6 linked regions of the Canis lupus familiaris genome follow. The protein of the gene in region 5 interacts with the protein of the main gene of each other region in a pairwise test. Links are inferred from orthologs where the notes say so. Each region holds a gene or a part of one and is shown on either strand. Other genes may lie near its edges.

The links.
Region 1: the proteins of TSGA10 (region 5) and BIRC2 interact in binary tests that used the Homo sapiens proteins (3 or more experiments, as listed by UniProt). The two-hybrid records come from large-scale screens. The link is inferred for Canis lupus familiaris from reciprocal best matches to the Homo sapiens genes TSGA10 and BIRC2.
Region 2: the proteins of TSGA10 (region 5) and ZNF410 interact in binary tests that used the Homo sapiens proteins (3 or more experiments, as listed by UniProt). The two-hybrid records come from large-scale screens. The link is inferred for Canis lupus familiaris from reciprocal best matches to the Homo sapiens genes TSGA10 and ZNF410.
Region 3: the proteins of TSGA10 (region 5) and CCHCR1 interact in binary tests that used the Homo sapiens proteins (3 or more experiments, as listed by UniProt). The link is inferred for Canis lupus familiaris from reciprocal best matches to the Homo sapiens genes TSGA10 and CCHCR1.
Region 4: the proteins of TSGA10 (region 5) and CDC73 interact in binary tests that used the Homo sapiens proteins (3 or more experiments, as listed by UniProt). The two-hybrid records come from large-scale screens. The link is inferred for Canis lupus familiaris from reciprocal best matches to the Homo sapiens genes TSGA10 and CDC73.
Region 6: the proteins of TSGA10 (region 5) and MID2 interact in binary tests that used the Homo sapiens proteins (3 or more experiments, as listed by UniProt). The two-hybrid records come from large-scale screens. The link is inferred for Canis lupus familiaris from reciprocal best matches to the Homo sapiens genes TSGA10 and MID2.

Annotation. Positions count from the first base shown.
Region 1 is NC_049226.1:29,446,694-29,451,383, reverse strand, and holds part of BIRC2 (baculoviral IAP repeat-containing protein 2), read left to right. Parts: intron 1-2,656; coding exon 2,657-2,735; intron 2,736-3,529; coding exon 3,530-3,578; intron 3,579-4,690. UniProt on the Homo sapiens protein: Multi-functional protein which regulates not only caspases and apoptosis, but also modulates inflammatory signaling and immunity, mitogenic kinase signaling, and cell proliferation, as well as cell invasion and metastasis.
Region 2 is NC_049229.1:47,425,343-47,430,814, forward strand, and holds the start of ZNF410 (zinc finger protein 410), read left to right. Parts: upstream 1-2,087; 5' UTR 2,088-2,183; intron 2,184-5,472. UniProt on the Homo sapiens protein: Transcription factor that binds to the sequence motif 5'-CATCCCATAATA-3', and is specifically required to silence expression of fetal hemoglobin in adult erythroid cells.
Region 3 is NC_049233.1:980,403-984,839, reverse strand, and holds the end of CCHCR1 (coiled-coil alpha-helical rod protein 1), read left to right. Parts: intron 1-128; coding exon 129-174; intron 175-315; coding exon 316-452; intron 453-565; coding exon 566-754; intron 755-867; coding exon 868-969; intron 970-975; exon of another isoform or gene 976-1,310; intron 1,311-1,518; exon of another isoform or gene 1,519-1,723; intron 1,724-2,374; coding exon 2,375-2,526; intron 2,527-2,632; coding exon 2,633-2,801; intron 2,802-3,052; coding exon 3,053-3,165; 3' UTR 3,166-3,317; downstream 3,318-4,437. UniProt on the Homo sapiens protein: May be a regulator of keratinocyte proliferation or differentiation.
Region 4 is NC_049259.1:6,439,144-6,443,833, reverse strand, and holds part of CDC73 (parafibromin), read left to right. Parts: intron 1-1,278; coding exon 1,279-1,379; intron 1,380-4,690.
Region 5 is NC_049231.1:44,604,608-44,610,049, forward strand, and holds the start of TSGA10 (testis-specific gene 10 protein), read left to right. Parts: upstream 1-2,183; 5' UTR 2,184-2,241; coding exon 2,242-2,298; intron 2,299-5,442. UniProt on the Homo sapiens protein: Plays a role in spermatogenesis. When overexpressed, prevents nuclear localization of HIF1A.
Region 6 is NC_049260.1:82,072,350-82,077,039, forward strand, and holds part of MID2 (probable E3 ubiquitin-protein ligase MID2), read left to right. Parts: intron 1-1,517; coding exon 1,518-1,679; intron 1,680-3,095; coding exon 3,096-3,303; intron 3,304-3,924; coding exon 3,925-4,327; 3' UTR 4,328-4,690. UniProt on the Homo sapiens protein: E3 ubiquitin ligase that plays a role in microtubule stabilization. Mediates the 'Lys-48'-linked polyubiquitination of LRRK2 to drive its localization to microtubules and its proteasomal degradation in neurons.

The sequences.
Region 1 (4,690 bases), on a different chromosome or scaffold from region 5:
GCCTTTCTCTCTCTCTCTCTCTCTCTCTCTCTCTTTCTCTCTGTCTCTCATGAATAAATAAATAAAATCTTTAAAAAAAAAAGTTGGGTTTTAAAATTTTATCTTTAATATTCATAACCTAACACGGTAAAATCTGACGTTCTAATTCTCAAAAGTGAAGTTGTGTTTAAATTATTTAGGAAAAGTGTTTTATTATCAGAATTTTAAATGACCATTATGCTTGGCTTTATGGGATTGTATACATATAATTTGAAACTTAATAACTATTAAAAAGACAAAAATAGCTTTCCAATTCTGGTGTTTGATTTACTTCATTTTGCGCTTTATAAAACAAGACAAAATCTTGGTTTATTCATGTAATTTGTGTTTTGTTTTAGATAGTTAAGGGAAAAAGGCTTAGGGTGCTTTGTGTAAAGACTTCAGAAAACAGCAAATTTCAATTATGGATAACTTTAAATCTCAGTAAATGGAAAACAAAAATGGATCACGGTTATCACTATTTTGTAACAGTTCACTTGTCACATATTTGAGTCCCTGGTGGATGATAGTTCTGCTACTGCAGCTGTAGCAGCGATGAAAACAAAATCTCTTTTTTTTCTTTAAAGATTTTATTTATTTATTCATGAGAGACACAGAAAGAGAGGCAGAGACACAGATGGAGAAGCAGGCTCCATGCAAGGAGCCTGATATGGGACTCAATCCTGAGAATCCAGGATCATGCCCTGAGCCAAAGGCAGATGCTCAATCACTGAGCCACCCAGGCATCCCAAAATCTCTGTCCTTAGTGACCTTGTTAGAAAAGGGGGCAGATCTGTGAGCGGGGGTTCATTATACTTGCTGCTTTAATCATTATGTATGTAAATTAATCAGTCCTGGTAGAAAAATAACTTAAAACTATAGGATAATAGAGAACATTGTGGGAACTATCGGTCTTGTCTCCGTGACAGACTTAAGTCTTGAGTGTGCTTAAATGATCTCTGCTAATTCTACCTAGTAACCAGTTGAAGGACATTTGGGTTGTTTCCAGTTTGGAGTAATAAGCAGCAAAGCGTCTGTCAATATTAATAAACATCCATGGGCATGTGTTTTCATTTTGCTTGGGTGAATCTCTAGGCTTGGGATTTGTGGGTTGTATGGGAAGTTTTCCTTAGGGCTGCTGTGTTGTTTAAGTGGCTGCGCTGATTTGGATTCCTCCCAGAGGTGTGTGAGACCTCCAGGTGTTCCACAGCAGTTACTGTAATTGGTATCACCATCCTGGTGGGTGTATCATGATCTTTCTCTGAGGTTTTTTTTTTTTTTATTTTTTTATTTTTTATTTATTTATTTATTTATTTATGATAGTCACAGAGAGAGGGAGAGAAAGAGAGACAGGCAGAGGGAGAAGCAGGCTCCATGCACCGGGAGCCCGATGTGGGATTCGATCCCGGGTCTCCAGTATCGCGTGCTGGGCCAAAGGCAGGTGCCAAACCGCTGCGCCACCCAGGGATCCCTCTCTGAGGTTTTAATTAGCATTTCCTTAATGATGAATGACGGTGAGCTAATTTGCCTTCTGCATATCTTCTGCCCATTTTAAAGTTTTTTTTTAATTACTAAGTTTTGAGAGTTCTTAATGCATTTTGGGTAAAAGTTTTTATTAGGTTTGTTTTGCCAACTTTCCATGTGTGGCTTGTCTTTTCATGGTTTTAGCAGTAGCTTTTGAGGATGTCATTTTATCAGTTTTATCTTGTATGGATTATGCTTTTGGTCTCTTAGCTAGGAAATCTTAACTGGCCCAAGGACAAAAAGATTTTCTACTGTCTTCTAGAAGTTGCATCGTGTTAGATTTAACATCTCGGTCTCTGATTTATTCCTAGTGAATTTTTGCATGCAGTGTAACATAGGTGGAGGCTCATTGTTTTTCTGGGTGGGTGCTGGACTGTTTACTGAGAGACACTGATGGGGTAAAATGGAAGTAGCTGTAGGTGAGCTGCTTGGAAGGCTTTTGAGCAGCTCTAGGAGTTTGTGAACCAGTTTTTGGGAAACACCATCATATTGCATATAGATATGTTTCGGGGAGAAGGTTTGTGCTTCACAGTTAATGGAAGAGTGGACCCCTGAGAAAGATTAGCAATTGTTGTGAAAGATCATGTTTTAGGAATATTAATTACAGCTTCTGAAACTATGTGAAACCCCAAAAGTTAATTGCCCAGGACAGCATTTTTCAAGTCTTAGCTTGTGCCCCTTTGAGGGCTAAACCCTTTTATTGTTAAGCGTTTATGTGATAAATAGAAAATAACACAATGTGTCACAATAGAGTAGTGTTTCACAAGGAGTCTTTTTTCCTGCTTGATAGGCTGTGATGTAAAATGTTTATATTGTGGGGTGCAATCAGAGAGTTTGAAAGCCACTTTTCTAGAAGATTAGGTCATATTTTTTGGTATAGAACACTTTTTAAAAGTAACTTTTGTCTTTAAAATTATTTTTAAAAGATTTTTATTTATTCATGAGAGACAGAGAGAGAGAGAGAGAGGCAGAGACACAGGCAGAGGGAGAAGCTTGCTCCACGCAGGGAGCCTGACATGGGACTCGATCCTGGGACTCCAGGATCACTCCCTGAGCCAAAGGCAGTCGCTAAACCACTGAGCCACCCAGTGATCCCAACTTTTGTCTTTTATAGGTGTGAGTTCTTGATACGCATGAAAGGGCAGGAATTTGTGGATGAGATTCAAGCTCGATACCCTCACCTTCTTGAGCAGGTAAGTTTTTATATTTGGCAATGCTGAATTCTCTTGAATAATAATGACAAAGAATATTATTAAGAGTAATATTTACATTTGTTATTGATTATGGTTAATTGCATTATACCCAATTAATGACACCTTAATTTTTATTTTTGTTACTACTTTACTTGTTCAGGGCTTTTTAAAAATTTTTGGGGGGTGCCTGGGTGGCTTAGTTGAGCATCTGACTCTTGGTTTTAGCTCAGGTTATGATCTCAGAGTTGTGGGATTGAACCAGTGTTCCTGCACTCAGCAGGAAGTCTGTTTAGGATTCTCTGTCTCCCTCTGCCCCTCCTCCTGCTCATGCTTGTTCGCTCTCTTTCTAAAATAAATAAATCTTTAAAAAAAAAAAAAAGATTTGCTTTTAAGTTTCTGAAAAATCAATCTCCCACTGTACAAATTTGTGGTGGGATTGGAGGAGGATCTGTAGTGCCTCCTCTATCTTTTGCAGGAAAAAAAAAAAAGCAACTTGTTAAGAATTGGGAACCTGAGAGTGATCTAGCTGAAATATCTTTTAAGTGGAATGAGAAACCATGAATATTTTTTCCTCCTTTCCTGAAACTAAGAAATGCTTGAACTATAATTTGGAAGTAGGTAAAGTTTAAGGGGATTTTTATGATGATTAAAGTAAAACAGAGCAAAATAAGTATATAAATTACCTAGTTTTCCGAAGTGTGTGTACATTACTTAAGGTAAACTTATCTTGTTGTTCTGTTTAAGGTTGTTTGAGATTTTTTATTTTACCTCTTAATTTTTCTCCTGTTCCATAGCTTTTGTCAACATCAGATACTCCTGGAGATGAAAATGCTGATCCACCAAGTATGTATGGAAATATTCCAGATATAGAATGGGAATTTTTATAAGAATGTTAAACACAGAAGTATATAAATAGAGCTATGTTTTGAGTCCTGAGGACATAGAAAAAAGTGCTGAGAAGTTAACTAATAAATATTATGTATCTGCTAAGATTCATGACATTTTTAGAGTATTCTAGCAAGTATACTAATCTTTGTTCTTAAAGTTGCTTCCAACTGGGGACACAGAACATATGCAGAAGAGAAATAACCATCACAGATTAGCTCAAAGAATACCACATGAGAAGTGTAAATAATAAGCCCTCCAAGGAAGAAAAGTTTGCTATAAGCTAGTATGTTTGGAAAGGGCCAGTTGATACATGATTTAAGAATTGGTCTAGATACTAGGTATTTATTAGGTGTGTGGTATTTATTTATTTATTTATTAATTATCTTATTTATTCATGAGAGACACAGAGAGGCAGAGACACAGGCAGAGGGAAAAGCATGCTCTATGCAAGGAGCCTGATGTGGGACTTGATCCTGGGACCCCAGGATCATGCCCTGAGTCAAAGGCAGATGCTCAACCAGTGAGCCACCCAGGCGTCCCAAGTGTGTAGTATTTTAGTTGTAAGGACAGGAAATAGATCTGATAAGAGCTTAGTATTGGTCATATCTGGCATTAAGTTCATGTATGTAATTTACATATGTTAGGGTGTCCAAAATAATGAAGATAACCATGTACTATTTCTTAGCACATACCAGGACTCAAGAGGGTTGTTGAGGATTTGGAATCAGTACTTAACCACCTCCTGTATATTGGAACTGGGAAAGATAGCAGGGCTGACTGTTCTTGCTTTAAATTTATAACTATAGCTTCCTTACCACCCTGCTACCCTTTGCAGCTCCCTAATAAAATGACTTTAATATTCTCTCTCTGTAAGTTTCTACACTCTATTCCCTAATTTACCCACAGCTCATAATCTTGTGTCACCAAGGAAATAAACATGATCAAAAGAGAACTGCTACCATTTCTTCCCAGCCAAGCCACCAGTCTGAGATGTATCTTTAACACTCTCCTTCATGTTCTTTCTATGAAGGAACTGAGGCCAACTCTTCTTGTCTTTTGTCATCCAA
Region 2 (5,472 bases), on a different chromosome or scaffold from region 5:
TCTATATCCAACATAAATATTTACAGTAATAGATTGAAGTTAACATGACCTATTTTTCTTTCTTTTACTAAAACTGGTATTATATATGATATTTGATCAGATATTTGGAAACCACTGGAGATTTGATATAACTGTTTAATGGATTATACAAAATAAATGGATTTTTACAGTTAATAACTTTTATTTAAAATAGAATGCTTGTGAAGACATGTAGTAAATGTATGTTGACCTGGAAATGCTTTATATAATTCTTGAACTGTAACTTGGTATAAGAATAGAATTGGGATGGCTTTTCTGTATTGTAGATAGAAAAGGGATTTAATAGCAGGGCACGTGTTAGAGTTTGGGGGGTGGAATTTAGAGCTTGTGGAGTTTTCAGGATAGGAGAGCAGAGACTTTGTGTTGAGAAGATAAATAACAGGTCAGTCAGGTTGATGAAGAAACTAGTTTACTACAGAGGATGATCTGTGTTTTGCTAACTAGTTTCCTCTATAGCATAAAAACTCAATATATATTGATAAAGCATGTTTGTTTTAAGTTAGCAGGCATATACTGTCAAATAGCATAAAGATTTTCCAGGGCAAATAGATATAAACATCACTTGAAGTTTCAGGTGATTAGAAATATTTAGGCAATCAAGACAGCTTTAGAAAATGACAGGACTAAGAAAATTAACAAATGTTTGAAACATGAACGTTCAAAATTAATGTGCCTTTAAATAAGAGGATCTGTTTCATTAATTATAATCAGCCCTTTACAACAATAAAATTGATTTTATTTTCCTAGGTGCTGTGTTGGTTTATGGTCACCTGTTTACACCCTGCTCTATACTTTTGCCTGCGACATTTGTGGAAAGTAGATTTACATTGTTAGTAAATCAGTCACTCTGGTTGACTTCAGTGTTCTCGTTTTATATACCTTTCCTGGACCATTTCATCTCCAGAGAGCACTTCATCTCTGGTTTATATGTTGATAACTCCCAAATCTTTTTTTTTTCCTTTCTTTCCTTTCTTTCTTTTCTTTTTTTTTATTTAAAGATTTTATTTATTCATGAGAAACAGAGAGGCAGAGTGAGAAGCAGGCTTCTCGCAGGACCCTCATGCGGGACTCCATCCCAGGACCCTGGATCATGGCCTGGGCCAAAGGCAGAGTACATTTCTATTTCTGACCTCTTACTCGAGCTTAAGACCTCCCAAGTAAAATATCCTGTTGACACCTGGGATAAACTGTTTATCCAAAAAGAAATTACCTTCCTCTTACGTGTTTCTACTTTGTTTTTAAATCACCATCCTTTGCACACCCAAACTACTACTCCCTCACTCATTCAGATGCCTATCATTAAGGCTTGTGTTTAACCTTGAAAATAAATACCTTTCTTAGAGAACGCCTTTAATTTCCATCACTGCCACTGCCTCAGTTGAGGTCCTCATCCTTTGGCACACAGCAGGTACTCACAAATGAGTAATTTCAAAAGTCTCAACCGCATAAAGCTCTAACAAGTTAGTTGTGGCATCCAGCCTGGAGCTCAAGTGTTTTAGTCCCCAGTGTGGATATCCGAGACCTCTTTGCATCCTAACACAGGGAACCCAGACTCTAGGGAGATCATGTTACAAGGAAAGTCGTACACTCGAGTCTCAACTCTTACCCTGTGCGAATGCAATGCTGAGCTAGATTCTGCAAGTTCCCTTCTCAAGCAGTGAAGCTTCGAAGTGTTCCTCTTCAGTGAGAACTCTGGTCGGTGTTTAAGGAGTGCTCTCCTTCTCGCTGGCCTCCATTGTAACTAGTTCCGATCTCAGCTGACAGGAAAAACTACCTCATCTGCCGCTGCGAGGAAGCGGCGACGTCACGGCTGGAATGCACTGACCCCGTTTTTCGGGTTTCGCAGACCTCGGGGCCCCGAGGCCTGGAATGACTAGGACGCCGGAGACCGCAGCCCTAGTCCCGGGGGCGGGGGTCCAGCCCTGCTCAGACAGCCGGGTCCCCGCGCGCCTCGCCCGCCTCAGGCTGCCCCCGGCGCGGGGCGGCCGCCGTCCGGCCCGGGGCGAGCGAGTGGGTGTGAGCGTTGGGGGCCGGCCAAACTTCCTGTCCCGCGCTCCTGCTGCTTCCGGCGGGAGCCGGAAGACGCTGTGTGTGGACGGAATTCGGGACCGCCTGACGGCCGGCCGGCTGCCCGGGACGGAAAGGTGAGCGCCGGGCCGGGCCGGGCCACACCCGCGCGGCTAGGTGGTCCCCGGCAGGGAGGGAGCCGGTAGCGGCCTCTCGGGAGCTGGGGCCGAATTCGCTCCTCCTCCCCACCGCCCGGAGAGGACAGGGAAGCCGCCCCCCTTGGGCACCCCTCCCAGATCTGGCGGGCCCGGGAGCGGCCGGTCTAAAGCCCTGCGGCTTCGGCCCTGCCCCTCGCGGCGTAGTGGGGCGGAGGTTTCGGCTCCTTTGCTTGGTTTTGAGGGCGGGGGCTTGGGAACAAGACGGTCCCGAGAAAGCTGGAGTCAGCGAGTCCCCAGGGCGGGGGCTGCCGGACTGCACCCGCCGCCGGGCCTGCCCGCGGCCCTTGGGGCCTCACGCTAAGGCCGTTGCAGAGGGGGAACGAGGATGCCAAGGGACTCTGCCCTGGTTCTTTCGGCCCGGAGCTACCTTCTTCCTTCATACGTCCACTTACTTCCTGAGTCTAGGAGGAAGGCTGCCGGCTCTGAGGGGCTTGGCTGCTCGCTTCTCCTCCTGTCGTCTCCAGGCGAGGCTGTGGGCTGAATGCGTTCGCAGGTTAAATTTATCCTCTGAAGTTTCTTCAGAGACAAGAATGCAGTTAGTCGATTAAAGTTTATCCCACTTGCTCACGCATGTGGGATATGGGGCACCATTCGGAAGTTTAAATATTGCTAACTTGGGACTCAAGAATTTGTATTTCTTCACTTTGGCACGCGGGTCAATGCAACATACTTTCAATGAGAGTGAAAGAAACATTCTGAAATAAAGTCAGTGGCATTTTGTTGTTAGGGAGTGAGAAATTCCACTTTGGGTGATCTTAGCGTGGACAGAGTAAACTCAACTGAACAGAAGATTTAGGTTCTTCTTATTTTTTTTTTAAAAGATTTTATTTATTTATGAGAGACACACACAGAGAGAGAGGCAGAGACACAGGCAGAGGGAGAAGCAGGCTCCATGCAGGGAGCCCGACGTGGGACTCGATCCCGGGTCTCCAGGATCAGACCCTGGACTGAAGGCAGGTGCTAAACCGCTGGGCCACTGGGGCTGCCCTTAGGTTCTTATTTTTAAAAATTCTGCATCTAAGTAAATGTCTGAATTTTTGACAAGTTACTTAATCTCTAGCTCCCCCCTCCCCCCAGGGGAAGAGACTTACCTATTTATTCAACAGATACTTCCTGAATGCTTAATTTGTTCAAAGCATCATACTTGGTTAATGCAGAGTTAGAATGAATAAATTCAGCGGCCTTAACCAGTGAAAAAAATATGCATGTAGACAATTAACAACCAAGACAGAATGGAATAATTGCTAAAGAGAGGTGAAACAGTGTGTTGTGAGAACACCAAGGAAAAGAGAGATTTGTTCTTACTGGAGGGAAAGGATCAGAGTCTTACTGGAGGACGGCACTTGAGTTGGATTTTAAAGACTGGAAAGGATTTTAAAACATCGCAACTGGATTGGCAGTACTTATTACTGGTTGAAGAACTAGTCTAAGCAAAGACTTGAGCACTGATATAGGCTGGTGTGTTCATTCAAAAGCCAGTCCCTGTCGGCTGGAGTAAAGGGTTAATTGAGGAATATGGACAGTGCTGTAACTGGAACAGTAGTTGAGGATACATTGTAGAATATTTGAAATGCCATGCTGCCAGGCTTAGGAATTTTCTCAGGCCCTGAATTTTGAATGAGTAGAGTAACATAAGCATTTCTGTGTTTTAGAAAGATAACGCAAGTGGCTGCATAAAAAGGTGGACTGAGGGACGCCTGGGTGGTCAGCAGTTTAGCGCCTGCCTTCGGCCCAGGGCGTGATCCTGGAGTCCCGGGATTGAGTCCCACATGGGGCTCCCTGGATGGAGCCTGCTTCTCCCTCTGCCTGTATCTCTACCTCTCTCTCTCTGTGTCTCTCATGAATAAATTAAAAAAAAAAAAAGGCAGATTGAAAAGGGAATTTTTAGGGCAGCTTGACCCCTTAGAAGCCTATTTTAATAGCGTAGTTGAAAGATAATGAGCCCTAAACAGAGTATTACAGGAGGAATAAATCTGAGGGAGTCAGAACTACTGGGGTTATTTATTTATTTTTTAAATAGTGGTTTTATTGGTTACATATATTTCAGCTATCTACTGGGGTTATTTAAATATGGAGGATGAGATATTGTTAAAGACCTAGAATTTGCAGCTGAGTGGGAAGAAGATTGGGCAATAATTTAAGTGGATAATATAGGAAGAACAGGTTTGGTGGTGGAGATGATAATCTGGATTTTGGACATTGTTGGTTTGAGATGGATATCCAAGCAGTTAGAAATGAAATCTGGAGTTTATTTTTTTTATTTTTTATTTTTTAATTTTTATTTATTTATTTATGATAGTCACAGAGAGAGAGAGAGGCAGAGACACAGGCAGAGGGAGAAGCAGGCTCCATGCACCGGAAGCCCCATGCGGGATTCGATCCCGGGTCTCCAGGATCGCACCCTGGGTCAAAGGCAGGCGCCAAACCGCTGCGCCACCCAGGGATCCCGAAATCTGGAGTTTAGAAGAAAGGTCAGGAATAGAGACAAATTTTTGGTATTATTTGCATGTCATTCATTCATTGTACGGATACTTAGTGCCTACTAAGTGCTTGCAGGGAAGTTTATATGGAAGCCCTTTAATCTCATAGTAAATACAATCTTAGAGTGTCACAGTATCAGAAATGACTCTTGGAGATGTAACTTCCTTATGAATTACATATAGTACTTTGCCAGACACTGTGTTAGGTAGGGGAAAGTAAAGTTATGAACAAGACAGACTAGTTCCTGCCCTTATTTATGGAACTTAAAATTTAGGAGGTAGCCAGACAAAAAACAAATACTATATAAAACTAAAGGAATTAGAAATAGGAGAGTTAGAGACTAAAGATGGAAGTATTAGGAATATTCTTTGGGTAAGGTGGTCAGGCAGACAAAGCCTTTCTAAATGAGTTGATAGTTAGAGCCCAAAGGAGTGAAAAAGAGCTAACCAATGGAGAGAGGGGACAGTGTTCCAAGGTAGAGGAAATGACATGTGCACATCTCTAACATCAGAAAGAGCTTAATTTGTTCAAGGAACTAAGATGGCTAGAGCTTGGTGAGCAGAGAGTGACTCTGGAGTGTGGTTGGGGAACGAGGAGAGGATCACATAGGTTCTTATAGGCTAGGATAAAGAGTTTGGATTTTTTCTAGGTGCATTGGGATGCCAAGTAAAGAATTTCAAGCAGGTGAGTGAGATCACATTTTAAGATAATCCTTACTACTGTGAAG
Region 3 (4,437 bases), on a different chromosome or scaffold from region 5:
CTGCCCCTGCCTTCCCCAGCTCTTGCCTCCCACATTTGACCTCATGCCTTCTTGTCACCAGACCATGCATCCCTTCCCCTTTCCCTCCTCAAGCTCCTCTCCGTTGCTCTCTGCCTTTTCTCCCCCAGGCCTGATGGCTCGAAAACTGGCCCTTGCTCAGCTGCGCCAGGAGAGGTGAAGCCTGGGGCACTGCGGTGGATGGGAGGGGGTTAAGGTGGTGTCTGCTGGGACCCCAGACAGTGAGGACTGAAGGGGATGGGGGCTTAGGGATCAGGCTAGGTGACTGCCCCTGACTCTTTCCCTTCCCTGCTGCAGCTGCCCCCCAGCCCCGCCAGCCACACACATGAGCCTTGAGTTGGAGCAGCTGCGGGAAGAACGGAACCGCCTGGATGCAGAGCTGCAGCTGAGTGCCCACATCATCCAGCAGGAGGTGGGCCGGGCCCGGGAGCAAGGTACGCTTGGTCCTGGCGTTACAGAGCTGGAGCAGGGGCCAGAGTTGGGTGTGTTGGGGAGGGAGGAGTGGAGTCTGGCCACGGAGAGACCTTTGAGTGCCATCTCTTCCCAGGGGAGGCGGAGCGGCAGCAGCTGAGTGAGGTCGCCCAGCAGCTAGAGCAGGAGCTGCAACGCACCCAGGAGTCCCTGGCTAGTGTGGGGCTGCAGCTGGAGGCTGCTCGCCAGGGCCAGCAGGAGAGCACAGAGGAGGCTGCCAATCTCCGGCAGGAACTGACCCAGCAGCAGGAGCTCTATGGGCAAGGTGTGCAGGATGCGGAGTCTGTTTACCACGGAGGGCTGTGAGGAACGGAGAAGCAAAGCTTCCTCTGACACATCCCATCTGCACCCCCGCCCCCCCCCCCCCCCCCCCCCCAGCTCTGCAAGAGAAGGTGGCTGAAGTGGAAACCAGGCTGCGGGAACAGCTCTTAGAAACAGAGAGGAGACTGAATGAGGCTCGGAGGGAGCATGGCAAGGCAGGTGAGATTTGCTTGGGTGGCTGTGGTCGTCCGGGGAGAAGGCAGTGTTGGACATAAGGGTTTTTTGTTTTGTTTTTTTAAGATTTATTTATTTGTTCATGAGAGACAGGCAGAGAGAGAAGCAGGCTCCCCACTGGGAGCCTGATGTGGGACTCAATTCCGGATCCTGGGATCACGCCCTGAGCCAAAGGCAGGTGCCCAACTGCTGAGTCACCCAGGTGTCCAAGGATCTTAAAGCTGTTTTTGAAGTATGCAAATAATGAAGTTACCAAGAAATGGCACAAATACATTCTGAGGCGGTGAACACACTCCTTCAGCCAGCACACATAGGAGCACCAGCAGGTGGCCAGCCCTAGTGCCCCCTGAGCCCTGCCCAGCCACCCCCCTCCACAAGGCCACGGCCATCCCAACCTCACACCAACCATTACCCCCAACTTTTTTCTTTTTCTTTTTCTTTTTCTTTTTCTTTTTTCTTTTTTCTTTTTTCTTTTTTCTTTTTCTTTCTTTTTTTTTTTTTGCCTTAAAGCAATAGAAAATTGTTCTCTTACAGTACTGGAAGCTAGAAGTCTGAAGTCAAGATGCTGGCCAGGGTTGGTGCCTACTAGAGGTTCTGAGAGTCTATTTTATGATTCTCTCCTGCATTCTCATGGTTGCTGGCAATCAGTGGCATCCCTGGTTTGTTGGCACATCATTCTTTTGTGTGTCCATCTTTACATGATGTTCTGTGCTGCACGTGTCCGTCTCCCAACTTTTTTTTTAAAAGATTTTGTTTTTGAGTAATCTTTACAACCAGCATGGGGTTCAAACTTACCTAAGATCAAGAATCATGTACTCTACCGACTGACCCAGCCAGAGGCTTCCCCTCAATGTCATAGTAGGGAAAAGTTCAAATACCTAGCCAAATTACAAGACTCATGCAGTGCCCACTTGTGTACTTCCTCTAACTAGATGCAACAGCTATTCATCTATTTTTTGTTAAAGATTTTTTTTAAAGATTTTATTTATTTATGAGGGACATAGAGAAGCAGAGACACAGGCAGAGGGAGAAGCAGGCTTCCTGCAGGGAGCCGGATATGGGACTTGATCCTGGGACCCCAGGATCATGCCCTGAGCCAAAGGCAGGCACTCAACAGCTGAGCCACCCAGGCGTCCCTAACCTCAGTGTCATTGGCACACATTAAGAAGACATTGATTGCACCAAATTGAATATTCAGTACACATTCAGATTCTCCCTAAATGAGTCCAGGAAGGTTCAGGGATGGGGTTGTGGAGCATCAGCCACTGTGCCCAGCATGCAGAAGACATAGCCCCCCAGTGTTCTGCCCACAATTCCAGCTGTTCTCATGGTGCCTCACTACCTCTGGGTTGCCCCACACCTGTGCCCTCTGTACCCTGGCTTCCACTAGTGGTCTCCCTGCGCCAGATGCAGCGCAAAGCCACCTGGGAGAAGGAGCGGAACCAGGAGCTCAGGCGCCTGCAAGATGAGGCCCGGAAGGAGGAGGGGCTGCGGCTGACCCAGCGCCTGCAGGAGCTAGAGAGGGACAAGAACGTTATGCTGGTAGGGGGTCAGAGACTGGGCCCTGGAGCTGCCTGGGGAGTAGAGGCCTCATTGGGGAGGGGTGGCTCTGCCCGGGCTAGGTGGCATTTGACCCTCTCCTTCCCAGGCCACCTTGCAGCAGGAGGGTCTCCTCTCCCGTTACAAGCAGCAGCGACTATTGGCAGTTCTTCCTTCCCTCCTGGATAAGGGAAAGTCTGTGGAGTCCAGCCCCAGGGACCCAGGGTCTTCAGCAGCTGTGCCTCTGGCAGCACCCACCACCAGGGAGTCCATAAAAGGTAATGGTCTAGGTAGGAAGGGATGGATGGATGTACAGGACTTAAGGAATCTCTCCTCCAGGTGCTCTTAATGGTGTGAGCATTTTTCTCCATGACCTTTGGAGGCCCACAGCCCCTCATCCATGCCCACCTTGGGCCAGAGAACACCCTCCCTCATAACCCTCCCATCTGATGGCAGTCCTGTTCTCTGCAACCGGAGCTGCAACAGCCTTGTCTGTCTGGCTGCTATCCCTGGGGGTCTTCTTTCCTAGGATCCCTCTCTGTCCTGCTCAGTGATCTGCAGGGCCTGAGTGAGGCCATTTCCAAAGAGGAAGCTATTTCTCAAGGAGGCAACCCGAACTGTCCTGCTCCAGTGTGTGGCTGAACAGCTGGGGACTCTGCCTCTGGGGGCTCAGGGTGAACAGCTGGGGACTCTGCCTCTGGGGGCTCAGGGTGGGGGGCCGGCCAGCTGCCCTCGTGGATACCAGCCACCAGGATGTCTGAATGCTGTGGCTCAATAAAGGTGATTACAGTGTGCCATGTTTTCTCTGGGACTGAGAGGGAATTCCCCTGCAGCCATCTCCATCCACCCGGAAAATGCGAGAGGTGGTCCCCAGCTGTTTTCTCTAGGTAGTGCCTTTCTCAAAACCCCTTCCCCAGGCTGCTTGAGAAGTTTCTGGCAAGCCCCAGGTTTTCTTTTTCTCAACTTTTGTTTTAAAACTCTACTTCTGGAAGAAGACCACTGCCCAGAGTGAGGAATATAAAACATCGCTCATTTGCTCAGAGTCAGGCAGTGTCCTCGCTCAGGGGCCATAGTGGTGGGCTTGCTGAGTGGGTCCCTGCTGCCGAGGCACTGCTGTCCTGGTGGTAGAGACAGATGATGGACAGGTACCTAAGTGAACGGACGGGCGTCCTTGGGAAGAGAAAAGACATACAAGGTGATAGAACCTGACCAGGGAGGGGCCGCCCGATGCTGCCTCCCTGAGGAGGGGCTGTGTGGAGGACCTGCCTGAGGTGGGGAAGCAAGCAGCGGCGTTGGCTGGAGTCCTGCAGATGGCAGGCTAGCATGGAGGGGGACCTGGTGGGGTGCGGGTTTTATTCCAGGTCAGTAAAAAGCCCTTGGAGTACTTGTAGCAGGGATGCAACCACATGATTAGGCTGACTTCTTTTTTTTTAAAGATTTTATTTATGAGAGAGAGAGAGGCAGAGACACAGGCAGGGGGAGAAGCAGGCTCCGTGCAAGGAACCAGATGTGGGACTTGACCCCAGAATCATGCCCTGGGCCAAAGGCAGGCTCTAAACCACTGAGCCACCCAGGGATCCCTAGGCTGACATTCTTTTTTTTTTTTTTTAAAGATTTTATTTATTTATTCATGAGAGAGACACACACACAGAGGCAGAGACACAGGCAGAGGGAGAAGCAGGCTCCATGCATGGAGCCTGATGTGGGACTTGATCCCGGGACTCCAGGATCACACACTGGGCCAAAGGCAAGCACTAAACCGCTGAGCCACCCAGGGATCCCCTAGGCTGACATTCTTAAGAGCTAGGTAGGCTGGCTGTGGAAGTTGGGGTTTGGGTTGGGGAGGGAAGAAGAGGGGGTGGGGAGACCAGTTAGCAGGGTAACTGAGGAGGCCCGGAGAGATGGGCTCCTGAG
Region 4 (4,690 bases), on a different chromosome or scaffold from region 5:
GTTATCAAAGTGTGTGATCTGTGGACCTCTGGGCATTCCTAAAACCATTTTAAGGAGTTGTAAGGTTAAAACTATTTCCGTAATAGTACTGAGATGGCTGTTGTCATGATTTATCAGTCCTCACACAGGAACAGTAGCATAACCAGTGCACAAGAGTAATCATTCCCTCCATTTCTCCTCCTCATTCTTCTTCTCTCCATCTCTCTTCTGACTCATGGATTGTCCGTGTGCTTCTGTTTCCTCATCTGTAAAATGGGGGCAATAATAGTACCCACTTCATTAGATTGTTTGGAAGATTCAATGTGTTAACATATGTACAAGATAAGGTGCTTAGAACAATACTGGCCCATAGTGAATGCTCATAGTATGTCTTAATGTTAACTATTACTGTTTATATTATGGTTTTGTTCCCACTTCTTTAGTTCTATGCTTAAACTGCTTATGGCCTTTGTATTTATAATGATTTCTCAATTTAATTAAATAATTTGTGAACTAATGAAATATGAAGGCCTAGAGAAAGATTTGTTCTTTTTATGAAAACAAAATTGAACGGTTGGAAAGACAAATTGCTTTAAAAACCCCAGATAGGGGTGCCTCGGTGGCTCAGTTAGTTTAAGCATCTGACTCTTGATCTCAGCTCAGGTCTTGATCTGAGTCATGAGTTCAAGCCCCATGTTGGGCTTAAAAAATAAAGAGAATGCTAGTAGAATTTAGGGTGAGTGAAACAATTGTAAACAATTGGAAAAATTGAAGTCTAATGACTTTTATACTCAGATTACTTTCTAAATAATAGAAGAACTCAAAAATAAGACTTTGAGGTTCCAGAAAATGGTTGGTGAGTTACTATAATTTATAATGTTTTTAGTTAAAGTAAAGCGTTTAAGATGTATTTGAATTTTAGATGATTTCCTTTTAAAACCAACTTTTTCAATTAATAGATCAAGTCATGTTCCCTAAAAAATGGGCCCTTATTCTAGAAGAAGGGCAGATTAAAAGGTTAAAAAAGATTGCATATAAGGATTGTGTTGTGTAATTATGTTTAAAAGACTTAGGTGCAAAAACAGATGCATAAGAAGTATAACAATCATTAATACACCCTAATGATAACATTGTAACAAAGAGTTACTCTAATGTACTCTGTCTCACAGATTTGTTGACAGGAGACTATGCCACATGAATAATTGAAACCTTTCCTTAAGGATTTACAGTAATCAGAGTTCATGTTTGAGATATTGTCTCAACCCTTGAGCTCTAACTCTGTCCCTTTTCTATTTATAGGGATCGGGTTGTAGCAGTTTTTGTGCAAGGTCCTGCATGGCAGTTCAAAGGTTGGCCATGGCTTTTGCCTGATGGATCACCAGTTGACATATTTGCTAAAAGTAAGATTCTCTTTATTTTTACTGCCTATCCAATATAGAAATGCTTTTGCATTATGTACAAGAAAGCCACATATGGCTCTGCATATATGATATATACATTAAGACATGCTCATTTTTAAGCACCTGAGAAATATTTTTAAAGTATTTTTTCAGACATTAATATTTGTTTAATGTACTTATGTCTAAAAGTAAATTACCGTATCCTATTCCCACATTGGGTCACTTAAAAAAGGATTAATTTGTTGCACATCCATACATTTTTATTAAAATTGATGGCTAGTTTTTAAAGGGGTTGACTTTTGCTGAATAGTAATGTATAGCTAGAACTTAAAGAGCCATATGACTTTTTACTGGCTATTTCCATTGTCCGGAATGATTATAGTATGCATGATGTTTTTTGTTTTTTGTTTTTTTTTTTCATTCAAGCATAAATTCAAGTATTGTCTCCTTTAGAGAATCCTTCTCTGGCCAACCAGTAAATAACCATTACTTTCTCCCAGTTACTCTTTAAGCTCCTTTTTATGATAGTACTTACTGTTGTTTGATATTATCTTATTTATATCTTTATTTTAAGTCTTCCTTGGCTATAAGGCTAACTTCTTGGTGGGAAGAGCCCTTTTCTGCCTTGTTTACCCTTGAATTATCACAGAAGAGTGCCTGTCATAGAGGAAGCATTCAGTAGATCATCTGTTAAATGAATATTTCACGTGGCTTATATCTTTTGGTATATTGGAGATTAATTTATTAATTTAGTCTGGTTTTTGCAGTAGAGATATTCCAATTATTATTTAATTCGAGTACCCAATTAAGTTAGTAACCATAGTAAATTTTTTTTTCAAAAGCATTCTCATGAAACAAGTATGTTTATTAGAAATGACAACTTCGATTATTATGAATGTGAAGTGTGCTACTGTAAAATCCAGCCATTTTAAAAGCAACTTCAGATTTTGTTGGCAGTTACTAAACCATTCTCCCAAGATAGAAACTACTGCCCAAGCTTGAAAGTTTTAATCATTTGTTCTGCTCTACTTTCATTCTAGACAATGATTCTAATATTACTAATATTATGATAGATTTTTATGTTATTTCTGAAACTTGAATAATACACAGTTGATAAATAGAAAGTTAAAGGTGGAGCGAGAACGGGAATTTAAATAAAATGTGAACACAAATGTTTTACCTACTTGCTTGCCTTTTTGAATAGTGTTGTAACAATAACAAAAAAATGATTAAAAGGTCTTCAAGATGTAAATGCTGTCTAAATTTCAGAATGTAACGATGTTAGTAATTGTTTTTTTCAGATTGTTAGTCTTCTGAAACTTAGATAAGAACTTGAGACTTTTTTAATAGTTAGCAATTAGCGATTTTATTCCATGAATTATTCTTTCTTTTCAATCTTCCTTCCTTAATGAACATTTAAAATGAAAGTCCCTTCCATCTTAAAACCCTTTCTCTTGACCTTAACTCTAGCTCCTCTTTTTTCTTTTACTTGAATTATCTCTACTAACTTATTTTCTCTTTGGTTCTCAATTCACTGTTTGGCTCCTTTGCTCTCTACTAAACTATTCTCACCAAACTTATCAGTGATTCAAATACTATATACTTTTGAGCTCCTTAAGGGAATTTGATTCTCTTGACTTGGTTCTTTCTTTTTAAAACGTTCTTTTCCAAAGACTCGTATACTCTTTCTCAGATTCTCTAGCTTCCTTTGGCTTTCAGCTAACTACCTGTTTATGTTTTGTTTCTCTTCTCCTTTATTATTGATACTCTCTCAAGGAGATCTGATAGCTTTCAATTACCATGTTTAATCTTCCCTTTATTCTAAGTTTGGTCTCTAGTTTTATATTCTGGGCCTATGTATCTCACTTAATTAGCAGATAACGCCTATGTGAGACCCTATTGGTACATCAGACTCAACCTGTTCTAAATGGAGTTGATTATCTTATATTCTCCCTCATTCCCATACTGTTTCTTTTCCGCAATTAGTTGGTTTCCTTGCTTTTTACTTGCCTTTTCTAGGTTTTTACCCTTTCCCCCATCACACACATAGAAAATGATAACATCTATATAGCATGGGGAAAAACTGAGGGTATTTAGGACCATCTATATGGGCCCTGGTAGAAAACTTATATTTTCTTCATATTGCATAATATAGTAGACTACAAAATTTTAGAGAAGATATTAAGTATAAATTTTATAAATTGTATAAAATTGATAGTTACCATTGAGAAAATTTTTTCATTAGTAATCTATATTGTGTTACTTCTTTGTCATCTGACATGCCATTATTGTACCTACAAAATACTATTCAAGACCATTGTCTTTTTTTTTTTTGCTTCTTTGTTCCTGTAAAATAATGTTGACAAGTGTCTTGCAGTTTGCACAAAATGAACAATTCTGAATTATGTGAAGTATTTTGCTTTAGTACTGATTGTGCTACCAGAGAGATGACTGACTTTCTTATAAAAGAACTTCATTTGTTCTATTTTTTGCTGAGGATTAAAAAGCTAAAAGTCTTTTTCTGAATAAGAGGTTTTATAGTAATGTCTTGATGTAAATTTGCCACCATTCCTTTAATGCTAGTAAAATATTCTGTATGGTGAGAGAAACTTTGTGCTTCTCATTTGTGATTTAAACTTTTTGGACTGTCATGTTTCACCTTAAATTATAAAAGTTGTCTATTCTGGTGGAAAAATAAATACTGTATAAACTAAATCTATTGAAATTAAGGAGTGGGGGACTGTAGGCCTTTATAGCTTTAGAGAAATCTTTTTTTTTAATCTTTTTTTTTTAAGATTTTATTTATTTATTCATGAGAGACACACGAAAGAGGTGGAGACACAGGTAGGGGGAGAAGCAGGCTCGCCGCAGGGAGCCCGATGTGGGACTCAATCCCAGGACTCTAGGATCACGCTCTGAGCCAAAGGCAGACGCTCAACCACTGAGCCACCCAGGGATCCCTAGATAAATCATTTTTTAATTTAGTTTAATTTTTTCCTCATTTTATCTGTTTCATTTTTTCCCCCAGATATACCTAATATATTTTTAAGAGTGAGGGGTACCTGGGGAGCTTGGTCGGTTAAACATCTTGTCTTTGGCTCATGTCATCCTCCCCAAGTTTCAGGATCAAGCCCTGCATTGAGTTCCTTGCTCAGTGAGGAGTCTGCTTGTCACTCTCCCTCTGCCTCGTTCCCAGCTCCTGCTCTTACTCTCTGTCAAATAAATAAACAAAATCTTCCACAAAAAAAAAAAAAAGATTTAGGGGTGCCTGGCTGGCTGGCTCACTTGGTTGGTCACCTCAGTCTTGATTT
Region 5 (5,442 bases):
CTTTAACTCTGAGAGTTTTGAGGTTCATACATCTTTTATTCACAATCTTAGTATCTGGAGACGAAATGAGATTACATAATGTTCTTCCTAAAATAATTTTTTAGGATGGTCTTTGAGAGTTCATGCTTCATTTTTTTTAATGAAAAAATTTTTTTAAAAATATCTTATTTATTTGAGAGAGCAAGAGAGGATGGGATGGGGGAGGGCAGAAGGAGAGGGAGAAGCAGGCTCCTCCTGAGCAGGATCCCAGGACCCTGAGATCATGACCTGAGCAAAAGGCAAATGCTTAACCAACTGAGCCACCCAGGTGCCCCTAATTTCAAAATTTTTAAAACTTTAAATTAAAAACACACACAACATGGGGCTTAAACTCACGACCCCAAAAGCAAGTCACATGCTCTACTAGCCAGGCACTCCAGTTCATGTTTCTTTGTAACTTATTTTATCAGGCATAATTATATTTCAGAGGAAATATAGTTATGGCATCTCTGACTTCAGAGGAAATATAATTATGGCACCTCTGACTTCCTTGTTTAAAAGAACACAGACACTCAGATTATTTAGTGACTAGCTATACTTAGCTGAAAGTATATAATAGCTGAAAATAAATGCTACAAACTAGAAGATGTAACAACATAAATAATGAAGAAATCGGAGATGGGGAAAAATAACGGCACTCATAATTAAACGTACTTTTACGAAGAAATTTGTTCTAACGTGTATTTATGACTGCCAATAACATACTGTGGAGGGAGAGAGAAATGAGTACTCACCTGGCAAAAACAGGAATTGCTAATCTCTTCAAATGTGAAATTACTTTTGAAATACAGAGGTGCAAACTTTATCAAGATCATCAGAGAACAGCTATAAAAATCTAGTTAACTATTTCACCTGTAGGAAAAGATACGGCGATAAAGCCATTAGAATTTAGAAGCCTTTGGGTTAGGACAGATTAATATTAAGAAATGTTAAAAATAGGATTTCTTTTCAAGCCGGGCTCCCAAAATTTGGCAGAGGAATGCAATCCTCATTCTTTTTCACTAAAAAGCTCATTCCTCTACTTTTAGGTAAGGCGATGGATTTTAACATAGTTGGATGGCCGATAATGTTACACTTGGTTAAATTAAAAGAGTGTTCCAAAACTGAAGGCTCCCGCTCGGGAGAAGACAAATGCAGATGGTGTTAAACAGGCAAACGATCGATACAATATTAAATATCAAGTGAGATAGTATACCCTTTCCCCTTTTGTTAACCATCACCAGTTTTTCTGGAAAGAGGTCTTTGGGGGAACTGGCACGTGGAGAAGAACACCGGTCAGGGATCTGCGCCTTTTCATTACGAGTTGTGCCACCTCCCGATTCAGCCATGGCTGACTGGTGCAGGGCTGACCGGGTCGTGGGTCATGGCTCCCCCGGCTGCAGGCGCTTACCCGGACAGAACTGCTCTCTCCGGAGAGGCTGCAGCAGCAGGACCCGACCTAGGAGACTCCCCGAAAACCGGCTCCTGGTTACGCCAGGAGAGCTCAGCAACCTTCCAGCGCCCTAAAGGGAGTAACGAGTTCACTGAACGTGGGTCCAGAACGACACCGTATCCCGAGGGGGAAAAAATGCCACAAAACTGCAACAGCAAAGCAACAGGTGTTCCAAGAGCGGAGGGAAGAAGGCAGGCGGAGATACAGCCCTGCGCATGCGCGTTCCATCCAGGTGCGGCAGCCACAGGCAGGGAGTAAGAATTAAGCTGTGGAGAAGCGGCCAGCGGCTGGTTACTAGGAGACGGGACGCTCGGGTGGGACGTCTAGGCCCTGCGTGGTCGTACGCCTGCGCGGCGCGGATGGACCAGGAAGAGGCGTCTGCTCCGCGCCCTGTACGGTGGGCAGGTGGACATACGCGTCGCTACGTGCGTGGCTGCGCACGCACGGCTGTAGTCCCCGCGAGAGAGAGAGGCGAGCCAGGTACGCGTGCGCACGGGAACTGGGGGCGCGCGCGACGGAAGCGGAGCGAAGGCGCCGGGGAGGTGGAGGACGAGCCCCCCTCAGGTACGGAGCGTGAGGGCGGGGCCGACGGCGGCGCCGACCGGCGCTAACCGCCCCCGCCTCCTTCCCCCCGGGTCCCGCCTTCCTCTGCCTCCGCCGGGGCGGAGCCAGGCCGCAATAGGGGTGGGAAGGGAGGGGAAAGGGGCGGAGGATGGAGACGGGGAGGGGCCTGGATCCCTGGCGCCGGCGGTGGCCCGCCAGTCGTCGCGATGAGCTCCGGGGAGGATGTCGGGCGGAGGAGCCCGGGGAGGGACTCGGAGCTCCAGGTAGAGGCAGCAGGGTTGCGCCGGGTTGGGGTAAAGCAGCCCCTGGGTCGGAAGGCCCCGCATCCGGGCGCGTGTGACGGGGATTAGAGGCCGTGGGTGACCTCCGAAGCGGGAGTTCGCTGCCTGACTGGCTGCGAGGGACGGCAGCGGGCAGAGCTGTGGTCCAGGGAAGCCCACCGGGAGCAAACTTTGCCCCTGTTGTCGTTTCTTGGGCGCTTCGGGTTGAGCCCAGTTCCTATGGTGACCGCTTCGCTTCCTGCCGCAGCTCTCCGCCTGGTTGTTGGGGACACTGTTCTGTTTAGAAACGCTTGGACTGGAGGTGAGGAATTTGGAAGTCAGAGATTTGGGAATTCAACCTGCTATTCCCGACTCCCAGCCTCTCACTTCTAAGCCTCTTGATAGACTTTGGGAGGTGAAGGGCCGAGATTACGTAGGTATTTGCATGAAAGTCTCTTGTAATTTTCGGTAGAGATTATACACAGGAAAGGCAGAGTAAACTGGGTTTTGTTTGAAAAAAAATATTTGAGATTAAAGTTGAATAACTGCGGCGATTATGGACCGGACATCTAATTACACAAAGGAATACATTGTTATTGTTTGTTTGTTTTTTAAAATAAAGTCAAGGATGGAGGCTTCAAGAAAAATGTGCTTAGGTAATATACCCCGTGTTTTCCTTCTTACACTACAGGGCCTTATATCGCAGGATATTCGTTGTTTTAAGTTTCCTCTACTGGTTTTCAGCATTTAAACTACACTTTTCTTTTTAACCTGTAAGAAAATAAGATAATAATTGGTTTACGACTAGAAGAAACCAGGTTAGAAACCAGAAACTAGAAACATAAATGGAAAGTGTCACATTCAAATCTGCCTTCAGGATAAAACTGATTCTTGTTTGTATCTTAATTGCTCAAGGGACTAAACCATTCAATTTTAATTAATGAGAAGTAACTAGGAAGGCGTTATTAATGAAATATTTACTGTAAAATAAACTTTGGTGTGATTTAATGGCAGCTTCCAAAATATACTTTATTTTGTTGACTTGGAAAAAAGAAATCACTGCTTACAGTCCGGCATATAATCAGATGTAGAGATTCTGTTGGCTCTTTTCCTGTCTTCTTTTTAAGTTGCTTAGATCAGTTTTAGAGTAATTTGCTTTTAGAGTATTCCATATACAGAGGCAAGTAGAGCAGGTGTTACTATTCATTTTTTTCCTCATCACATGCTCTCTCTTCTCCCCAGATGTAGCCACCATCCTTACTTCTTATGATAACCAACCACTACCTTGCTTTTCTTTAGAGTTTCACTATCTTTGTATAGGAACCCGCATATTCTAGTTTGGCTTGTTTTTGAACTTTATATAAATGGAATTGTAGTAACTATTCCTTTTCAGTTTGCTTTTTTACTCAATGTGAGTTTTTTTTTTTTTTAAGATTTTTTATTTATTTATTCATGACAGAGAGAGAGAGAGAGAGAGAGAGAGAGAGGCAGAGGGAGATGCAGGCTCCATGCAGGGAGCCCGATTTGAGACTCGATCCCAGGTCTCCAGGATCACACCCTGGGCTGAAGGCGGCGCTAAACCGCTGGGCCACCAGGGCTGCCCTCAATGTGAGGTTTTTAAGTTTTATCCTTGTTGCTTGTAATTAGTTTGTTGTTTAATGTTTACCTAATCCACTATTAATGTTTTTACAGTTTTTGGTAAACATGAACCATTGCTGTGAACTTTCTCATATATGTGCCTCATAAGAATCTTTTTAATTGAGCTAGTTAGTAAGGTAGTTCTATTTGTGTTAGTTATGGGATTAACATGTTTATTATTAATATTTTTTAGTTTATGAAAGCCCCTTGAAAACAACTCTTTAACTCCTTCTTATGTTTCTTAGAGGTCTTGGTAAATGATACTTCTCCTAAGGCCATTGCTTTATTTTCCTTAAAAAAGACAAGTTATTCCTTTACAGAATAGTCTGGATTAGAAATAAGGAGCTTAAGTTTGAATGGATAATTAGATTATTTGTTTTTCATAAGAAAGTTTAAGCATTATGGCTTTACTGTTTTGTTTGAAGGGAATTCCCAAAATGTTTTTTGACTTACTTTTATAGTACAAAAACCTGTCTCAAAATTACTCAAAGAACTGTGTGATTTTTTTACATTTTTCTTTTAGTGAGGCTATTTCTTCCTACTTCAGTGTCTATCACTGTAAACTTTTGGAGACAGCTTTACAAAAAGAAAACAAGTAGACTTTTTGTGGAACCAGATTTCAGAATTCCATATAAAGTACTACAGTATTTTTAATTATCCTATCAAAATATTTGATGACATTTGTTGAGCATGTATTATATGCATGATATTTTGCTCAAGATTGATATTTTTTTATTTTTAGCACATGATCTTACCTCCTATTTCATAAAAAATGAAACTTCTACTAGGCAGGACTTTAAATTACTACCCCCTTTTTTTTTTTTTTTTTTTAAAGATTTTATTTATTTATTCATGAGAGACACAGAGAGAGGCAGAGACATAGGCAGAAGCAGGCTCCAAGCAGGGAGCCCGCTGTTGGACTTGATTCCGGGCCTCCAGGATCATGCCCGACCCTAAGGCAGAAGCCCAACTGCAGAGCCATCCAGGTGTCCCAAATTTCTACCCCTTCTTATCTAAATCTTCACCTGACCTTGCTTTCCTCTTATCTCAAAGGACGGACAGTGCACATACCGTTTATTTGGGTTTCCTTTTATTGGCTCTGTGGCCTTTCTCCATTAGTTAACATTAACCCATTCTTAGGAATCTTCGATGTGTTTATACTGTAGGGCTTCTTAACCTAGTGGACAAGAACTTTAGAGAGTTCTTGAATCCCCTGAAATTGTTTGTAAAGTTTTGTGTGTGTTTTTATTTTCTTGAGGAAAGGACTCAGCTTTTATCTAATTCTGAAGGGAGTCCTTGATAGAAAGAGACTTAAGAAAAGGTTTTCTCCTTTGTAACAACCATTCAACAACTGTAGTTGTCTTCTGCCTTTCACTCTACCTCTCATGATCATGCTTCCTAAAATAACTCTACGTTTTCTGTTTTCTTTGTTCATTACTCATTTATTAGTCCTCTTCAAATATGCTTCTACCTCATCTGTACCATTGAAACTACTTTTTTGAGTCATCA
Region 6 (4,690 bases), on a different chromosome or scaffold from region 5:
TTCATTGTGAAGTTTTGTTTTATACTTTTAGAAGTATATCTGGAAGATCATTTATTTCCCTCTGCAGTTTATCATTCATATTGTGAATTGGCACGTGGATAACCAAGCCCTCCAACATTATTCCTGGCCCTTATCCTTATTGCCTTTCATGAGCATAACTGAGCTTCTTCACCAGTTATTCTTTCTAGGACATCTCTGTTTGCCCTCCACTATGCCTCTTTTTCTAGTTTTACTTTAGACTTTTTTAACCTCCCATCAACTTCATTATAAAGCCCTCATGATCGGATCTCTTTCAAGACACTAATGATTATTATTATTCTTTGCTAAAACACTCATGATTATTTTTAATTTTCAACCTCACTAAATCCTTTATGAGGGTTGCATAGAAGTGACTAAATTTACTGCTCATGTTTCATGCCCCCATTCTTTTGCATGCTTTGGTAGAATTGTGGTTAAAAAGCCGGAAACTGATTAAAAAGCAGATAACAGAAGAAAAGAAGCCTCGATAATTCACAAATAGAACAGCAACCCCTCTTTTACTCACAGTTATCCAAATACGTGTTTTTAATTATGCACATTTTTCTCTGTTTAAATCAGTGTTTATGGTCCAAAGAGTTTTGAAAGCAGAAACCTAGATCTCTGGGCTTGAGAGGGAAGAAGGTTCCAGGCAACAATGTGTTCCTGGACCATCCTATTTCAAATGAGTATTAGAACCAGGAAGGGGCAAAAATGGGTAGTATCAAGTGAGGAGATGGCAATTTTGGCTTTGTTTTTCATGCCATCTCTTTGGCTTCCCTATGATACCTTGGAGCCTAGTTAGTTTTGGAAGTAAGGGTGAGGATGGGGTGGGAGAGATGAGCCATACATAAGCCCTGGAAGCTTCAATACTTTGCAGGGACAAAGGAATATTGTTATCTACCTCATGAATTGTCATGTAGTGGGTGGAGAAAACACTGGACTAGGGTTAAGGAGACCAGGATTACACTCTCCGCACCATCACCATCTGTCTGTGGCCTTGGGCAAGTCACTTTTTTCTCTCAGTTTCCCATTTGTCAAATGAGGGAAATACAGTGTGTGGGTGTCCTGTTGGCTCTGACAGTCCATGTTCCTGTGCTCTGCCCAGGACTGCTCCATCCATACCAGGTTAGAGTCAGCTCTCAGAGGATTGGACCTTTGGTGTAAAGATCCAGAGACTCCATAAAAGTGATGATTCTGTGACTTTTGTAGAGTGGCCTTTCCTATGGTACTGGGCAGAAAACTGAAGCAACCTAACTTTCACGAGTGATGACATTCAATTATCAGAGGCAGGGAGCCTGGCCTAAGCCTAGCTCCGTGGGAGAAAAGAAACAGAAGATATTTACCTCACTCTGTCTCCTGGGACTCCAAAGAAAACAAAATGAAATTCACTTTTTTTTTTTTTTTGGTGGTGGTAGTGGGGGCTTTTAATGAATTGTCAGTGTGCTTCTCATCCTCTATTATCTGCTGGCTAATGTTCTATCTTCCTCCCCTCTTTACAGGCCTGTACAATTCAGTGGATAGCTGGATGATTGTGCCCAACATTAAACAGAACCACTACACAGTGCATGGACTTCAGAGCGGGACCCGCTACATCTTCATTGTTAAAGCCATAAACCAAGCAGGCAGCCGGAACAGTGAACCCACCCGACTAAAAACAAATAGTACGTTATGGTGATTCCAAAAGGAGAGTTCCATTTCCCCTCTGCACCAGGGAGGTCCTGAGCAGGCACCCACAGCAGTTTGTGCTTTGGGCCTGGGATTTGCTGGTGACCTTGGGAAATACATGAGCACAAAGATACACACAAAGTATATGTAGTAGCAGCTGGTGTTTGGAGAGGGTGTTATTACAGGGTTTTTCTCTGTACCCCATCCCATGCTTGGAGCAAACAATTGTGTAAAACAGTACTATTTGTGATAATCTGGTAGGATCCTTCTGCAGAGAAGCCATACCTGTTTGGAATGCTTCTGACTGAAGTTGACTGAAAATCCAACTAACTCAGCTTAATAAATAGTATTTGTGAGTAGCTAAAGCAAATCGTATTTTTTTCTCTTTCTCATATAGCAAGAAGTTTGAAGGTGGGCAGTTCAGAGCCAGTGCAGCAGCTCGTTCTATGCTAATGATGTTGTAGAAGACCCAGGCTCCTTCTCCCATTGCATATTGACTTATTGTCACATGGTCACAATATGGCCATTGCTACCTCCAGAGGTCATATTTCCTTTTAAGATAGGGAAAGGAAAAAAGGGTTGGTGCATGTGATGGCTGTCTCCTTCTATTGGGAAAGCAGGCACTTTCCCCGAAGTGTCCCCAAATCTGTCTGACTTCTCTTTCCATTCACTTCCATCTTATTAGCCACCCCTAGCAGCAAGAGAGGCTAGCAACAGGAATATTTTATAGTTTTTCTGGCCTCTATAGTGAAAGTGGACAAAAGAGAAAAAGCAGGGAATGGGTGTTGTGTTCAGTGTCTGCCACAGACCCATTTTGTATAATCCAGCTCTTGCCACACCCAGCAATTGGCTCCTAGTCACTTGTGTCGTCTTAATGGTTCTAAGGAATTCTCTGTCGTGAATGATCCTACACAACAAATGTTCTCTCTGATCATTCATGATGTATCAGACACTCTAATGAAGTCACTTAATCATGTTATTTATATCCCAATTGTAAGAGGGTAGAAGGATGGCCTTTACTGAGTTCTTATTTTTTTGTTCTGTCACCAACCAGCAATAACCTCATCAGTTCCCCTCACACTATCTCACCTTGAATACTCCTTCCACTAAGATCTACTTAACTCCCAAACTACCCACTGAAATAAAGCAGAGTTTAAAACATATTTGAGAACATGAGGTCCTGAGAGCCCTCTTTTAATTTGATAACATATGGGGGGCAGCTGATTATTTTATTGAAAACGATGCCTTCAGTCTCTATTTCCATAATGTAATAAAAATAGCAGCCAGCTCGCACTGGCCCAAGAATATCAAGAATCATATCAAGAATCCCCTGGTAGTGATAGTCCTAGGGGACAAAGATGGCATTCTTAAATACTTGCTCATGCATTTTCTTCTTCTCTACTTTTTTTCAGGCCAACCCTTTAAATTGGATCCGAAAATGACTCACAAGAAGTTGAAGATCTCCAATGATGGGTTGCAGATGGAGAAGGATGAAAGCTCTCTGAAGAAGAGCCATACCCCAGAGAGGTTTAGCAGCACAGGGTGCTATGGGGCAGCAGGGAATATATTCATTGACAGTGGCTGCCACTACTGGGAGGTAGTTATGGGTTCCTGCACCTGGTGAGTAGATCCTGCTTTTATTTTTTTCTCCCTTTTTCCCCTGTTGTTAGGTTCCTGGGAGATACAGTTCCATAGTACAAACATAGTACCAGTAAGTCAAGGTTAAAAGACATGTGATGAAAACCACTCCTAGAAAAATTGGCTGGCTTTTGTAAAATAAAATAAAATAAAATAAAATAAAATAAAATAAAATAAAATAAATAAAATCTTGAGAAACACACTGGGCTAGGAGTTGGAAATTACTCCAGCATTCTATTTTTTTTAAGATTTTACTTTTTTATTCATGAGAGACACAGAGAGAGAGAGGCAGAGACACAGGCAGAGGGAGAAGCAGGCTCCCTACAGGGAGCCTGATGTGGGACTCAAACCCAGGACTCTGGAATCAGGACCTGAGCCAAAGGCTGACGCTCAATCACTGAGCCACCCAGGTGCCCCATACTCCAACACTCTAATTGCTGACTTTGTCCGGCTCTCATGCTATGAACGTTATAGGCCTAAAATGTAAACTATTTTGTAAAGGGGGAAGCACGCATTAGAGTTCTTATATATCCCATGTGGTGTCCAGCACAAATCAGATCATTAATAAATGTTCATTTCTCTCTCCTTTCCATGGGCTCACAGGTATGCAATTGGTATTGCCTACAAGTCTGCTCCCAAGAACGAATGGATTGGCAAGAATGCCTCCTCATGGGTCTTCTCTCGATGCAATAGTAACTTTGTAGTGAGACATAACAACAAGGAAATGTTGGTGGATGTGCCCCCACAGTTGAAGCGTCTGGGTGTCCTTCTGGATTATGACAACAACATGCTGTCGTTCTATGACCCAGCTAACTCTCTCCATCTTCATACTTTTGATGTGACCTTCATTCTTCCAGTTTGTCCAACATTCACAATCTGGAACAAATCCCTCATGATCCTGTCTGGCTTGCCTGCCCCAGATTTTATTGATTACCCTGAGCGGCAGGAATGCAACTGCAGGCCTCAAGAATCCCCTTATGTTTCTGGGATGAAAGCTTGCCATTAAGTTTCAAGAGAGCATATAATTCACTGGCTCTCTAGTTCAGCACTTCCTTCCTTCCTAAACCTCAGTTAGTGTCCAATATACAAGATACAAAATGAAGTTCATTTGAAGCATCCAAAATAACTAGATATTACAGATTTAATTTTTGTGCATTAAAGCCTATATTTGAATTAAGGTATTGAGTTTCTCAGAACGAATTGTCTGAGTAGTCTGAGTTCAAGCCATTGGAGGGGAAATCTAGGGAATACCCCTCTTATCACTGGAGAATTAACAATTCCCAGTAATCTGGGAGTATAAATTATTTTGGAAGGAATTAGGATAATTCTAAGTAGATAATGTAGAAAGATGCTCTGAACAAGGGGCTAG